Caenorhabditis elegans: one gene and its partner. The protein of the gene in region 2 purifies or fractionates together with the protein of the main gene of each other region. This does not show direct contact. Each region holds a gene or a part of one and is shown on either strand. Other genes may lie near its edges. The genes, in order: F53B2.8 and fkb-1.

Evidence for each region.
Region 1: the proteins of fkb-1 (region 2) and F53B2.8 fractionate together in Caenorhabditis elegans (co-fractionation; one large-scale study listed by BioGRID). This does not show direct contact.

Annotation. Positions count from the first base shown.
Region 1 is NC_003282.8:12,523,886-12,532,154, reverse strand, and holds F53B2.8 (Coiled-coil domain-containing protein 86), read left to right. Parts: upstream 1-4,758; 5' UTR 4,759-4,935; coding exon 4,936-4,957; intron 4,958-5,004; coding exon 5,005-5,085; intron 5,086-5,304; coding exon 5,305-5,756; 3' UTR 5,757-5,924; downstream 5,925-8,269. Other genes in the region: F53B2.5 (Importin subunit alpha), read left to right, coding at 1,015-1,050, 1,445-1,615, 1,664-1,789, 1,834-1,971, 2,132-2,377, 2,427-2,600, 2,646-2,736, 2,784-2,857 and 2 more; Protein eak-4, read left to right, coding at 6,646-6,888, 6,938-7,102, 7,342-7,677.
Region 2 is NC_003282.8:11,032,260-11,039,923, reverse strand, and holds fkb-1 (peptidylprolyl isomerase), read right to left. Parts: upstream 3,343-7,664; 5' UTR 3,339-3,342; coding exon 3,211-3,338; intron 3,166-3,210; coding exon 3,054-3,165; intron 3,003-3,053; coding exon 2,823-3,002; 3' UTR 2,750-2,822; downstream 1-2,749. Other genes in the region: kdin-1 (KAP NTPase domain-containing protein), read right to left, coding at 1-74, 123-296, 428-529, 575-640, 925-1,038; Heme transporter hrg-6, read right to left, coding at 6,443-6,603, 6,650-6,736, 6,945-7,077, 7,124-7,228.

The DNA of each region.
Region 1 (8,269 bases), 1.5 Mb from region 2:
GAACACGGGTGTGCTAGAAATATTATGAAGATTTATGAGGAATTATATAGTAATTAATAAGTAATGAAATAAGAAGACTAGATGCTTAAATTGCTGTTAAATTAGAACTACAACCATGGTTCTTCTTTTCAGCTGTATCGCTAAAGTTTGGCGAGCGGCATTACATAAGAGACGTCACATGGATAACTGATATTTGACTCAGATTAATGCTTATAAATATGTCGTTCGTTAACAAATGTATGCGAAAAGAAGACTTTCCATTTTCGGTGGAAGGACTCAAATTCGGGCTCCATTTCATTGCAGCCCATGTTTCACAGGATCGATTTTAATTCAAAAATGTTTAAATCTCGCATGTGTGACATTCTAATTTCCCCTTGCTCAAGATAAAATCTTTTTTCAAGAACTTGTGTGAACACACATTCGACCTCTAAAAATTCACAAATTCTACTGTCTGCGTTTCATCGCTCCACGTTCTATCTTGCCAAATTTTCCTCGATTAATTGACAGCTTCACAGGAGATAGGTATCTATAGATGGAACCGAGAGGAACACACAATTTGGCGTATGTTATTTATGTATTAAGTTGGCATCGTTCTAGATACTTGTTGGTAGATCGAGGGAAAGTCACACTTGATCCCGGAGAATCGTGGGAAGAGAAGAAGAGAAATTTAAACTAAGAATAGGGAAGATTCACACTTGTTGTCTGCTAAGTGCTAAAACCTAGTGACCTAGGTTATGAACGGGCATTAGATTTGGAACATGTTGTGTAAAGTGGGAAAATTGAAAATTCACAAATTCTCTTTGCAGGGATTTCTGCTTACACTAACTATAAGAAAGTTCAAATATATTTTAATAAGAAGTGTATTAGATAATTAAATTTTAAAAAATTCACTCAAAATCACTGCAATTCTTCCACGCGATATTCCATTCGGATTTTCTCATACGTGCAAACAAACACGTGGAACTTCCAATGAAATCAATATAACTTTATTTCTGTTTTACACTCGCGGAGAATATGGTTAAATCTACAAAGAAAGCGAAGCAGGAAATGGTAAGAGTATATCAGAATCAGACGGCTGGCAAATCGGATGTTTCTCTTTTTTTATGCTGCAATGGTTTACCAAGAATGATTTTTTTGGCGGGGCAAAACCTGAATTTTTTGTAGTTGAGTTGCACTCGCGCTCCAACGCAAATTGAAAACCATAATTTGGTGGTCGTTATGTATGTTAAACTGTGATCTCGATTTCTTATTATGGATGGGACCGTTTTCATTTGACATTGGAGCACAATTGCACTTCCATCTCAAAATACACAGTGTTGGCTCGCTATAATGAAATTCAAAAAAATCTGATACGCAGAAAGGAAAGCCAAAAAAAAGCATAACGTCCGACTTGTTAGCCTCACTCGGACGGCAACTTTCTATCTATACTTCAATTTTTATACAGAATTCCCAACCTGAACAATCAGCAACATTTGACATTTCCTTTATCATCTCAATGCTCGAATCCTCATGCCGTATTCAACTGTCCACAGCTCTACACTTTTTTCGTAAAGCTTTTGCCAATCAGTCAGATTTATCGAACATCGCTCTGAAGGAGCAGTTTTATGGAAGAATTGTTAGTTCCGACGAAATTGTTTCAATTAATTCAAACTCTTTTTTTTAGAAGAATGGCGTTCTCAATGCTCTTCGTAATCAAACGTTAGACATTGACAGTGAGGTTAACGCTGTTTGGATTATCACTAATATGTGTTGTATTAGCCAGGAAGTTACTCACTTGTTTGTAAACTCGGTCAGTCTGAAAATTGATTTTTAGGAAAATTGTTTTTTTTTCAGAATTGTCTAGATATCTTGATCAAACTCGTTCGGTCTCAAAACGCTCGTCTCTCAAGTCAAACTGTTTGGGCAATTGCAAATATTGCAGCTGATTGTTCTTCGTGCAAATTGAAATGTAGATCACCTAAACTTTTGAAGGTAATTATAAGGGTTTGTAGGACATTTTAGAATCCATCCACAGCACAAATGAAAACAACTGTTACGGCTGCATTTAGGCGCTTTAGGCAGGCGCTTCAGGCAAGCGTCTGGCCTTTGAAAGCATGCCTGTCTACCATGTCTAAATAAATTCCAACTTCAGATACTCGCCAGAAACTTACAAACGTCGTATAAACTCGACGATGCAGACCGACGCCAACTCATTTGGTGTGTCAATAATATTTTTTCCGGTGGCCGAACAACGATGCCATCACCAGTAGCTCGTTCACTTATTTGTGCTTTGTCTGCAATTTTACTCGACACAGACGCTGTCGATAATATGGGATGTGGTTCAATGATTTTATGGACTCTTGCCAATTTGGTTGACAACTCACTAGATACCACACGGGTTTGTTTTCGGATTATTGTTAATCAAAGTTCTTTACTAAAACTTTCAGATCGACATGCTTCTTTCCCAAAACTACGTTGTTGAGCATATTCTCGAAAAATTTATTGATCAAACGGACAAGTCATGCAATGTTTCATGCCTCCGCCTTATTGGAAATATTGCAGTCGGGAATGATGTTCAGACTGATCTGTTGGTTGATAATCCCAAGTTTAGAGTTGTTATGGTACGTTTTTGACATCAAAATTGAAAATTAAAAATATTTTTTCAGAATATTGCAATGTCATCTCCGGAGCATCACAGTGAAGCCGCATGGATCATATCAAACGTTGTTGCCGGTGCTCCAAGACACGTGGATTACAGTTAGTTTTATATTTATTTGATTACTGAATAGGATCTATGTTTTCAGTAATGGATGATCCAGATGCTTTCTATGAATGGGTGATGGCTGGGATTCATACTGGAGACAAACGCTTGAGAAAGGTAAGCTGATATAAAATTATATGAACAGTATTTTATTTATTAGACATGCACCACCATTGTTTTACATTGACAGGGCATATATCTCGATTCACTTCCGTTTTATCAAAAAATTGTCAACTGAAGAAATACGTGCAAAATGTTTTTCTACGTTTTGATAGTGAAATTGTTTGATAACACTTGAGACAGTCAAGATATGAGCCGTCAAAGTGAATTAATGAGGGTGCAAGTACAATAGAGACAATACTGTAGTTAGCTTTGAACACATCTTTTGAAACAAAATTTATTTTCGAGCTTAGAAATTATCTATGGTTATTTCAGGAATGTCTGTGGATTATTGGAAATCTATTGGCAACTGCAGATGAGCATCAAACGTATCTTCTCGTCTCCTTAGGAATAGTACAGCATTTTCCAGCTCTTCTCGATTTTGATGATGTTCGTTTGAATGAAAAGGCGGCGACAACTGCAACTGAACTGCTCCGTGAGCATCCATGGCAGTACACATTGTTCCAACGTTTGGATATTTTGGGATGTATTGAGAGAGCTGGAGCAAACGTTAGTTGAATATCCTTAGACTTAACAATCCGTGTGTTTCAGTTTTCGATTCAAAAAGCCGAACTGAAATCTTTGATGAATGACTTGGCGCCACCTGAACGGAAAGATGAAGATATTGCCAAAGGATGTTCTGTGATTTGCTACAGCAAGCTCTCAGACGACTTTCACAGCATGAGCATTTGAATTTACTCGTTTGAAAATAAAAATACGAATTTTGATTGTGTAGGTTTAAAATATCAACCCATCAATCAGCAGAAAATGTTGTCTAATTACGTTTCTGTGATATTTAAAATTACTTGAACATTTCCAATACACCTGTTTTTATTTGTTCACTCGAATTCCAATCAGATTACTGACAGATTACTGGCTCTTCAACTGCGATTTTTCTACCGGTTTGTGTACTCTTTTTGGACAATTAGATGTTATGTGCACTTCCTGAACAGGTGCATAAACAATTGATGAGATGATGATGAATAGATGGATTAGGAATGGGGGAAAGAGGATTTTAAATGTTTTTGGAACATAGGGGGTAATTACCGGTAATTGATTTTTTCCAAATTTCTTCACTCCTAAAATATTTCAAGTTTTCAGGCAACAAAATGTGAGAAAAAGGATTTTTTTAAAGTTAAATATGATCAGTAAAGTGTCGGCTTCCATGATTTTTACAAATACACAATTATTATAACATCTCTTTTAGGTTTTTAGGTAGATTTGCATTAACTTTGCCAAAACTATTCGACTCTTCCAACTACAAAAATGTTTTCCAGTTTGAATTCAAATACCCGTCGTCCTTTTCTATTTGCCAATTTCCGGCGGCAATGTGATGGGATAGTGATATGACAATCTGTTACTCATTCCTTTTGGCGGTTTTTGTAAGGAACAAAAGCACTTTTTCTAGATTTGAATTTGAGTTGGGGAGATGTTGAACGACGACGATGAGCTGTTAGATGTTTTAAATCTTGAATTGTATAGTAATTCATAAGATTAAAAATCAGAAAACTTAAAAACTTAAATTTGAATATAAATATACCATAACTTTATGTCATCGATAAAAATTGGTCACACAGTAAAAACCGAGGGTTGCTGTACCTGGCAGTAGTCTGAAAAAATCAAATGTTAATGAAAATTTCGAATATTAAAAAATTTAAAACATTGCCTAAGTTAAAATTTTCGAAATGCTGAAATGCTTTGGGTGTAATATTTGTTAAGCATATTTCTAGTGAATTTTGTAGTTAAAAATTTCAACACTTTGATTTCGCAATCCCGTCACCCATCTTTTCCCTCTGGGTCTCACGATTTCCCCATACTTTCCAATAATCTTTCCTGTCAACATTCCCATTTCACATGACATTTTCAATTTTAATACTACCTTACTCATAGTCAACATCACTATTTCAGAATTCCACACTTATAAACATTATTGATGATAAAAACTCTTTGATAAGAAATTGATACAAAAACCCTCCTCAGTGCCTGCAATTTCAGTGGTTACTTGTACTGCTAAAATCAATTGCTTTGAACTGAAAATGCCAATGGGCAAGAAGTTGTGTAAGTTTTTAAAGTCGAGAAAAATTTGAAAATGCTCAAATTTACAGTGGGAAAGCTTAAGAGAAATAAGGTGGAGGAGCCACAGGTGGAGCCGGAGGAGGATTTGGGAGATGCTATGAGTACGCAAGGTTAGTAAGGAATTACATTTGACTTTTAGTGTTGAGCGTCGATTGTAGTGTTCGGAAAATTTTAGTTCACTGAACGGTATAGCAAATACGCAAATTTGACGCGAAAACTTTATAAACAACAGATTTGACGAGCAAATTATCGTAATAAATCTATGTGATAAGTCTAGTTTACGTTTGGCAGATTATATTACATACTCGAATGAGATTCGCAAATTTCAGAAAAAGATGACGTGAAAGTTGGGAAGAAAAGAGCCCCGAAGAATAACATGGGTGGAAAGAAACGACTGAGATCCAAGCTGGGAAATGTTGGGAAACACCAGAAAAGGGTACGCTCCAAGGAAAACACTCCGGAAAGAAAGCTGGAAAAATTGGAGAAACTCGAACTTCAACTGACCTTAAAACGAAGTCGAGAGGAGCAGAAACGAGCCAAAAAAGATAAGAAACTGGAGAGAAAAGCACTGAAGATTCAAAAAAAGTTGGAAGCTTTGAGAAGCATCAAGGAAAAACCACATCAAGGCTCTGAAGCACAAGGGCCAAAAGTCCCCAGAGCCAGAAAGATCCGGGTACCAGCCCCAAGACCACCCCGTCTTCCATATTTGGCTCTAGTCGCCAATCTTCATAAGGCTCCGAAAGCATTGCGTGATATGAGAGCTGCTGCTTCACGCCGTTAGTGTGGGCTTTGGATCATTTGGAAGAAAAAAAAATTGTTAAGTGGAAAATTAATAAGAAGAATATGAATCTGGATGTCAAATTTAATTTGTGGACGTTTTGAATTTTTCACTTTGAAGTTTTTATTTGTTAATAAAAAATGTTTGATTCAAAATTTACAAATTTCAAATCAGCATACCAAAATCTTCGAAATGTAATCATGATTCATGAGAGGTCTCGCCATGAAAACTAATGGTTATGGTAGATTTTTTCAATCTTATTCGAAATTTCAATTTGAAACTTGATCTTCAAAGTGAGACCACATTTCCCACTAACGTTTTTTATCTGCTCACTATCAGATCAAATTTAAGATTCAGAAAACTTGCTAGCTACAGTAACCGACACGTTTTGTAGTGAGACCCGATCTGCTTCGTAAAAATTCACATCTGCCTTGTAAGGAGACCTACACCTGATTCCTGCCTACAAAACGTGCCTATAGACTTGCAAAATTATTTCCGATCCTTTAATTGTTTGCAAAAATTCAGATGCCTAGGCAGTAGGCAAGCTTGTAGGCAGGCAAGAATACAGTAGGAGGAAACGTGCTTGCCTACTGGAATTTGGGAAATTTCTTCATAATCCGGTAAATTAAATTTTAAGGAGAATTCAGACTGTTCCCACAGCAATTTAAATCCACTTCCCTTTCCAAATTTCTGTGTCTCACTCCACTTTTGTTATAATTTTACGAATTTTTATTGCTTCCCCTTTTCCTAATTTACAGTATTCCTTGTTATCGAAAATATGTATGAATTCTGAGAAAAATTGGTCAAAAAATATAAAAAGACAAAAAACAATTAGCAGCCCCAGACCATCTCGACAATTTCCCCCATTCATTCTTACTTCCTCCCCACCATCATGGGACAATGCCTTGCCGTTCATCGCCGAATCATGGCGTCACAGGAGTTTCCGAATATTCCTCAGCCGGAGTCGCAGTGTCATGATGCATTTATCCGGTATTCCCCAGGAAGATACGAACGTCGGGCTGCACGATCCCAAGTCGACTATTATCTACTCCCACAGGCACCGCGGTTGATGACTGAGGATTTGGATAAGAAAGAGTTTCAGCGACTCTATGATGCTCGTTGTGAGCTCGTTGAGGTGAGATCTTTCACAATTTAATTTTGAAAAAAACCTTCAATAATTTCAGTGTCCAGCCGGAAGGCGTGCAATGCAACTGGATGTTCAGATCTATGCGGATCGTTATGAGGCGACGCTCAACAAGATTTTGGAGACTTCTCAAGAGCTTGACAAAGGCCTTGAAGACATTTTCCAGGCCTACACAAAAGATGATCCACTGGCTGATAAGGTTATGGTGAGTGGTATTTCGGAAGGGATTAAGGGAAATCAGACGGGTTGCGTAACTGTCAAAATCATTCATTCTGGCGCGCCAAAGTCATGCCCAACTATTGCCCAAGTTTAGCCAACTTCTAATCCAAGTTAATATTTTTTGGGTCAAACTTGGACAAGAAGCTAGAGCCAGATCCCGGGAATGTATCAATATGATCAAATTCCTTAACCTCTATTTTACATGAAAAATTTAATTATATTTAGAACTGCCGCTTGACCGTCGACGAAATGGGACGAGTGTACGAGCACTTCTTCCGCGAATCGGCATGGAACCTTGACAGCTTCGTGGAGTACCGGAAGAATCTGGCACGAGATGCCTACTTGCTGCTTGCGGATCTGAAAATCGCAATCCAACGTCTCGGCATGCACTTCAATCCGAACTTTGAAGACGCGCAAGTCAAGGTGGACTTCCAGATTATGCAGGCCGAGCAGATCATCTTTCACTTCAAAAGGACATACAGGGACGCACTGAAGCACAACCCTGACTCGATTACAGAGTTTGTGGAGGACGAGCTGGAAGATCCTGGAACACCGTTGTAATTTTTATTGTCATTCTTTTTCTGCCGTTTTCTTATCCTTCCCCATTAGTTACTGTAGTTCAGTCTTTTTTGAATTTCAATAAAACTACAACAAAATCAACATTTTTCAGTAATACATAATATTCTTTAATTTTGCAATGTATGTCTAGACAGCCAAGAGTTAGAAGAATTATAGAAAAGGAAGCAATTGTAAAGAAAAAAATACTTTTCGAACTTCGGTTTTCATATTATGTATAATCATGGGACGAATAAAAAGACAGAAAAAAATAATTTAAAAACAATATTTTAATAATTTTGATACAGTGGCCAAGAGGTTTCGTGGTAGGATCCTAGGCAAGAAATGGGTCCTGAGTAGATGTGAAACTTTTAAATTTATAAGCCTTAGATTTGGAAATTTAGATTTGTTTTCAAAATGAAAACATCCGATTTAAGATTAAAATTGAGTGAAACTTGTTGAGAGATTTAAATTATGTCACCATATATTCCAATTGAACAGAATTTTGTGGTTGCTGACCAAGTCTGATGATGAGCCAAAGTATATGGCTAAAAAAAGTAAAAACTACTTGTTCTTCCTGATGCGTCGGTATTGATAT
Region 2 (7,664 bases):
TGTGAAAATCCACGTCCAGAAGCTACAATTAACGGTGTGAGTCCGTCTTCTTCGTCAATAAGATTTACATGAGCCGGTAACAAAAATCGTTGTTTTTCTAATTAAATATATATATAACTTACTTTTGCGTTAACAAGTAGATCAACCACATCTAAATGATTTTTATAAACTGCCCACATAAGAGGACTCCATCCCATTAAATCAGGTTGATCAACAGATGCTCCATTATCAATTAATAATCGAACAATGTCAACATGACCACAGTGAGCTGCATTCAGAAGAGCACTCCAACCTTCCTGAAATAATTTTCAGTTGAAAAAAGAATTCAGCTTTTGAATAAGGATTTTTTTTAAACTCAACTCGAAAAAAAATCAAATGGCTCATTAATTTTTTGGAGTATTCAAATATTTTATTTCAGAAATCTTACATTGTCAGTTTCATCAATTGCGTCTGGATCCAATTGTGCTAATTGTTTGGCAACTGCTGTGTTTCCTGATCGAACGGCAACTGTGAGAAGTGATTCTCCATTCTGAAATTTGTTTTTGAAATAATTTATTCGATTTCGAGCACTTACAGCGTTTCTGAGAGCTGATATTTCTGCGGTGAGTGCACATCTGAGTTCTGTGGTGCCATGCTCAACCTGGAATCATTTCAAAGTTAAAAAAAAATGAATAAAATTTATGTTTTCAGTGTTTTTCTTTGAACAAAGATCTTCAAAGGATATTTTCTTTGTTTTATTTCTAGGAAGATGTGATTACTTTTCTTTATTCTTAAATTTCGAAATAAAACAGCATTCTGTCAATTTTGGTTTTTGAAAATTGATTTTTTTGACGATTAAAGTATTTCTAATCGTATTAAATTCAGATTAGCATATTGAGATTCAAAATGTTTCCTTAAAATTTATTAATAATTATAAAATATAACCTGTTCGAAGAGCTCAGCAATTTGTGTACTATTCATAGTCACCGGAAGAGCACTGGCGACGGCAAAAGCACTGCTTGCCGCTTCTTGCCACGGTCTTCTCAGTGTTTGAACCATGGCTCCTCGCTGCTTCTTCTCGTCTTCTTTCCCCTAACGTCCTGGGTCTCCACAACGCGTCACAATATTTCTTGGATTTCTCTATTTTCTCTTGCTTTCAGTGGTCCTTCGTCATATACAAACTTTCCAGACGCTTGTTTAGTATAAATACTAATTTCGATCAGCAGTTTTTCTTCGCAAATCGATGAAGAATTGTTGTGTTTTTCTTTTTATTTGTTTGAAAGCTGAAAAATATTACTGTATGGGGTTGAAAACGAATAATAGACAGCATGTATTGAAAAACCGACGAATTTCTGTAGATAATGGTAAAATTTGATACAAAATTATTGGGAATTACTCTATTTAAGAGCAAAAACTGATTAAAATACATTAAAATTCTACAATAAACAGTTTCAAAGCATTCGTAGAAAAATCGAAAAGAGAAAACAAAAAGTCCCTACAGTAACTTTAAAGGCGCATCTAGAATACTTTGTAATGGTCTCGACGCGACTTTCATTGTTGTATTTGCAAATCTGAAAAAAGAAAATAATATTATTTAATTGGCAGCGCCTTTAATCTGCGGTATTTCTTTGGAAACTTTAATTTTTTACAAATTAAAAAGAAAAATTCCGACAAATATTTGAGAAACTTCGTTTTATGAGTGGTTTTTATTATATAGCTTCGGTAATTATTTTTGCTTGTTTCAAACCGATTTCCGAAAATGGTCGCAATTGCAGTTACCAATAATTTAATATTTTATGATTTATTCTTAATCCTCAAAAATCGAATAGAAATCAATATTCGGAAAACAGAAAAAAAAATGCAGAAAATGACACATCTGTCAGTGGTGGTCGCAGTAGCAGACACCGAAAAATGATGGGATGGGAGCCTGTCAATAGAAACACAAAAAAAACGAAAAGCGTAGGCAAACAGAAAAAGCGTTAGATTATCATAGATCTCAAAAAAATAGAGAATTCAAAAAACCAAGTTCAAAATTCTAGAGAAAATATCGAGTCCTATCAAATTTCCATCACGCTCCGTTGGTTTCAAGAAGACGGATTATGCAAATATTACTCCCGAAACCACGTTGAATTTTCAGTGCGAAATGTCAGTTTTATTATTCATACTTTTATACATCAAAACTGAAGAAGAAAGCAGTGAGAGAAAGGAAATACAAGGCTCACAAATACTCTCACAGGAGGCTCTCAAGGAATACTCAATTTACTCGTGTGTTGAGAGAAGACAACGAAGAGCAAGAATCGACCTCAATTTATAACTATTGTTAGGATGGAGCATGAACAAAAAAAAAGAGAAAAGAAGCATTCGGATCGTTGGTGCAATAATTCATGGATGCCAGTTTTAATTGGGTTTCTACTAATAGAATTCCAATTTTTTGTTTATTGTTCGACATTTTCAAAAATGCATTTCCTTTTTCGATTCGTGCTTTTTATTTACAGAGGAACCACATACTTGAATTCTAATATTTACGAAACTGTTGATTCCAGATTTTCAGATTAAAATAATCATTCTTAAAAACTAAGAAAGCAAGGCATTACTAGGTAAGAAGAGAAAAAGGTGTATGGAAATTGATAAATGTCTCGCACACCCTATCATTTTCGCTGACAGAGTGCAATACAAGGTGATAAAGAGAAGCGAGACGCGGTTGTGATCAATGGCCGCAGACGGTCCAAATATATAGAATGGGCATGTTTATAAAGACAAAAAAAAAAACTGCAAAAAAAAATTATACTCTGAGAACATGAATAAGTTACAAAAGGCACGTTTTCTAAATATCCGTAGTTCGTTTACAATTCTTCTCCGTCTCTGTCAATCTTCATGAGCTCAACGTCGAACTTGAGGACAGAGTTGCCTGGAATCTTTGGTGGGGCTCCACGTTCTCCGTATCCAAGGTGTGGTGGAATTGTGAGAATACGACGCTCTCCGACGCACATGTTAAGAAGTCCTTGATCCCATCCCTTGATCACCTATAATTTCAATTTTAATTATTGATATTGGTTTTTTCTTTAAAAACTAACATTTCCTTGTCCAAGAGTGAAAGTGAATTCTTCATTGCGAGTGCGGCTGGAATCAAATTCAGTTCCATCGAGAAGGGTTCCGGTGTAGTGCATGTGCAATTGATCACCCTTTCTGTAAATTTAACATTTTTATTTTAATTAAAAAGAGTAAGCTTACCTGGATTTCTGAACGCAGTTCTCGGCACGCTTCTTGACTCCAATTTGCAATTTATCGATTTTCTGCTCATCGGCAGCATATGCGATCGCCAATAGGCACAAAAGTCCAACGATAACAGCGGTTTTCATGATCCTACAACAATACAATTGATTTTTAGAAGCACAATACAACGAAAAATTATTGAAAAAATACGTTATGAATAGAAAAATGGACAGAGAAATCAGTGCAAAAGAGCAATCGAAGGTGTGCAAACAAAAGTCAAGCAAACGTGGCGTTGTGACGCAGAGAAAACGAGTAATGGGTCAGCAAAAGTTGTTGGCGCAACTTTTGTCGGATTTTTAACTCATAGTTCATAGTTTTTGAGTTTTCCCGAGTTTTAAACAGATTTTTACCGTTTTCTTTACAAATTTTACAAAATAATTCAGTTTTTCTATTATAAATAATTAATTTCAGACAAAATGAGTGCCAAATCTCTCGCAAAGGCTGCCTCAAAGCCTCGGCATCAATCCACTCCGTTCCCAAAAACGGAACAGATTGGTTTTCAACTGAAACATTCAAAAATCCAGTAAAAACGAGGAAATTTAGTGCACATGGGATAGATGTGATCATCGCGGGTTCTATACGATTTTAGTTTCTTCTGTGAATCTCCTCTCTACCTAATGAGTCCTGACAGAATACCGGCAGTATTCTGGGGTCTCATTAGGTTTTAGTTTCTTCTGTGAATCTCCACTCTAACTAATGAGTCCTGACAGAATACCGGCAGTATTCTGGGGTCTCAGTAGGTTTTAGTTTCTTCTGTGAATCTCCTCTCTACCTAATGAGTCCTGACAGAATACCGGCAGTATTCTGGGGTCTCATTAGGTTTTAGTTTCTTCTGTGAATCTCCACTCTACCTAATGAGTCCTGACAGAATACCGGCAGTATTCTGGGGTCTCATTAGGTTTTAGTTTCATTTCCAACTCTCCACTAAACCTAATGAGTCCTGACAGAATACCGGCAGTATTCTGGGGTCTCAGTAGGTTTTAGTTTCTTCTGCGAATCTCCTCTCTACCTAATGAGTCCTGACAGAATACCGGCAGTATTCTGGGGTCTCATTAGGTTTTAGTTTCTTCTGTGAGTCTCATCTCTACCTAATGAGTCCTGACAGAATACCGGCAGTATTCTGGGGTCTCATTAGGTTTTAGTTTCATCTGTGAATCTCCACTCTAACTAATGAGTCCTGACAGAATACCGGCAGTATTCTGGGGTCTCATTAGGTTTTAGTTTCTTCTGTGAATCTCCTCTCTACCTAATGAGTCCTGACAGAATACCGGCAGTATTCTGGGGTCTCATTAGGTTTTAGTTTCTTCTGTGAGTCTCCTCTCTACCTAATGAGTCCTGGCAGAATACCGGCAGTATTCTGGGGTCTCATTAGGTTTTAGTTTCTTCTGTGAGTCTCCTCTTTACCTAATGAGTCCTGACAGAATACCGGCAGTATTCTGGGGTCTCATTAGGTTTTAGTTTCTTCTGTGAATCTCCTCTCTACCTAATGAGTCCTGACAGAATACCGGCAGTATTCTGGGGTCTCATTAGGTTTTAGTTTCTTCTGTGAATCTCCACTCTAACTAATGAGTCCTGACAGAATACCGGCAGTATTCTGGGGTCTCAGTAGGTTTTAGTTTCTTCTGTGAATCTCCTCTCTACCTAATGAGTCCTGACAGAATACCGGCAGTATTCTGGGGTCTCATTAGGTTTTAGTTTCATTTCCAACTCTCCACTCTACCTAATGAGTCCTGACAGAATACCGGCAGTATTCTGGGGTCTCAGTAGGTTTTAGTTTCTTCTGTGAATCTCCTCTCTACCTGATGAGTCCTGACAGAATATCGGCAGTATTCTGGGGTCTCATTAGGTTTTAGTTTCTTCTGTGAGTCTCCTCTCTACCTAATGAGTCCTGACAGAATACCGGCAGTATTCTGGGGTCTCATTAGGTTTTAGTTTCTTCTGTGAATCTCCACTCTACCTAATGAGTCCTGACAGAATACCGGCAGTATTCTGGGGTCTCATTAGGTTTTAGTTTCATTTCCAACTCTCCACTAAACCTAATGAGTCCTGACAGAATACCGGCAGTATTCTGGGGTCTCAGTAGGTTTTAGTTTCTTCTGTGAATCTCCTCTCTACCTAATGAGTCCTGACAGAATACCGGCAGTATTCTGGGGTCTCATTAGGTTTTAGTTTCATTTCCAACTCTCCACTCTACCTAATGAGTCCTGACAGAATACCGACAGTATTCTGGGGTCTCATTAGGTTTTAGTTTCTTCTGTGAGTCTCATCTCTACCTAATGAGTCCTGACAGAATATCGGCAGTATTCTGGGGTCTCAGTAGGTTTTAGTTTCTTCTGTGAATCTCCACTCTAACTAATGAGTCCTGACAGAATATCGGCAGTATTCTGGGGTCTCAGTAGGTTTTAGTTTCTTCTGTGAATCTCCTCTCTACCTAATGAGTCCTGACAGAATACCGGCAGTATTCTGGGGTCTCATTAGGTTTTAGTTTCATTTCCAACTCTCCACTCTACCTAATGAGTCCTGACAGAATACCGGCAGTATTCTGGGGTCTCAGTAGGTTTTAGTTTCTTCTGTGAATCTCCTCTCTACCTGATGAGTCCTGACAGAATATCGGCAGTATTCTGGGGTCTCATTAGGTTTTAGTTTCTTCTGTGAGTCTCCTCTCTACCTAATGAGTCCTGACAGAATACCGGCAGTATTCTGGGGTCTCAGTAGGTTTTAGTTTCTTCTGTGAATCTCCTCTCTACCTAATGAGTCCTGACAGAATACCGGCAGTATTCTGGGGTCTCATTAGGTTTTAGTTTCTTCTGTGAATCTCCTCTCTACCTAATGAGTCCTGACAGAATACCGGCAGTATTCTGGGGTCTCATTAGGTTTTAGTTTCTTCTGTGAGTCTCCTCTCTACCTAATGAGTCCTGACAGAATACCGGCAGTATTCTGGGGTCTCAGTAGGTTTTAGTTTCTTCTGTGAATCTCCTCTCTACCTAATGAGTCCTGACAGAATACCGGCAGTATTCTGGGGTCTCATTAGGTTTTAGTTTCTTCTGTGAATCTCCACTCTAACTAACGAGTCCTGACAGATTAGCATTTATAGTACACAACAGAAATCAGTCAAAAACAATTACAAAAATGTACTTCATTAATAATACCCATAATTATTTCACACGAAATGTAAAACTAAATCAACATTCTAAAACTTCCAAGTTGATGGATCATCTGGCTCCTCTGGGTGAATAATTGACTTCGTCAGCAGCTTTCCATAATATCTGGCGATAAATGCGTTTTGCCATGTCCATTTAAGCATAACAAGAAACCATGTGGCAGTCGACCACCAATTTAAACCATGTTGATCTGGAAATTCAAATGTTTTTTATTTGGAATTTATAGTATTTGTGACCTTTATTTGATACTCCTTGATGTTTAGTAGCAGCCAGCACAATTGCAGTTATCATTCCTCCAATTGATAAAAAACCAACAATCAAATCTGGAATTTTTAGAATATTATTATATTCATAAAGTTTTGCCTACGCTTAAAAGTTACAGTACATGCACAATGTTTCAGATTTTAATTATGAATTTGTTTTAAATTTAGCTCCAAAGAAAGCTACAAAACAATTTCTCTTTTTCTACTTATACTGCCTATTTAGGTTGTTGGTTGTACTTTTAAAAAATCTCCAACAAGAATAACTCACTTATCCAAAAAAGAACTTGAAAAGTTTGAGACTTCCAATTCAGGATTGTATCTCTTTTTACTGATAAGTAAAAATAAAATGTTTCAAAAGCAAATGCAGTGGCAGTGAGACACGCGGCAAGTGCAACCCAGTTCTGTAGATATTCAGATATCAGTTATTACCGGACCCAATCAATATACCTTCCAAGCAAAAATGTAGACACATGCCCAGAACAATCCAATAATAATTCCACAAATTGTATAGGCGATTCGAACGTTTATGTGACAACACAAAGACCAGCGCATTTCCATCTAATATAAACCCAATAATTTTAGTTACGGTGAAAAAAAAATGAAAACAGTTTTGAAGATCCAAAAAATTGAAAGTATAAGAAGTTATGAATTGGTCTGAAAAAAAGCGTCTAACATAATTATGCAAAAAACAAATAGATTGACTATTTTAATTCGAGAGATTTTACATATTGTAAATAAAAAAAGGAGCAATTAGCTTCAATTTCATAAATCTTATTTACGTTTTTAATGAGAGACCACTAAAAATATGCAAATTAAATAATATGAATTTGTATCTTATTTAGAAGTAAGTGTTTATTCTACAATTTCCGACATCGAGATGTATCACTCAGAAAAATCATAACACCAATTTGCCAAATTTGTCTATCAATAAAATCATTATATGAAACCATAATTTTATTAGTGCTCTTAATAGTTTGGTTATAAAGGT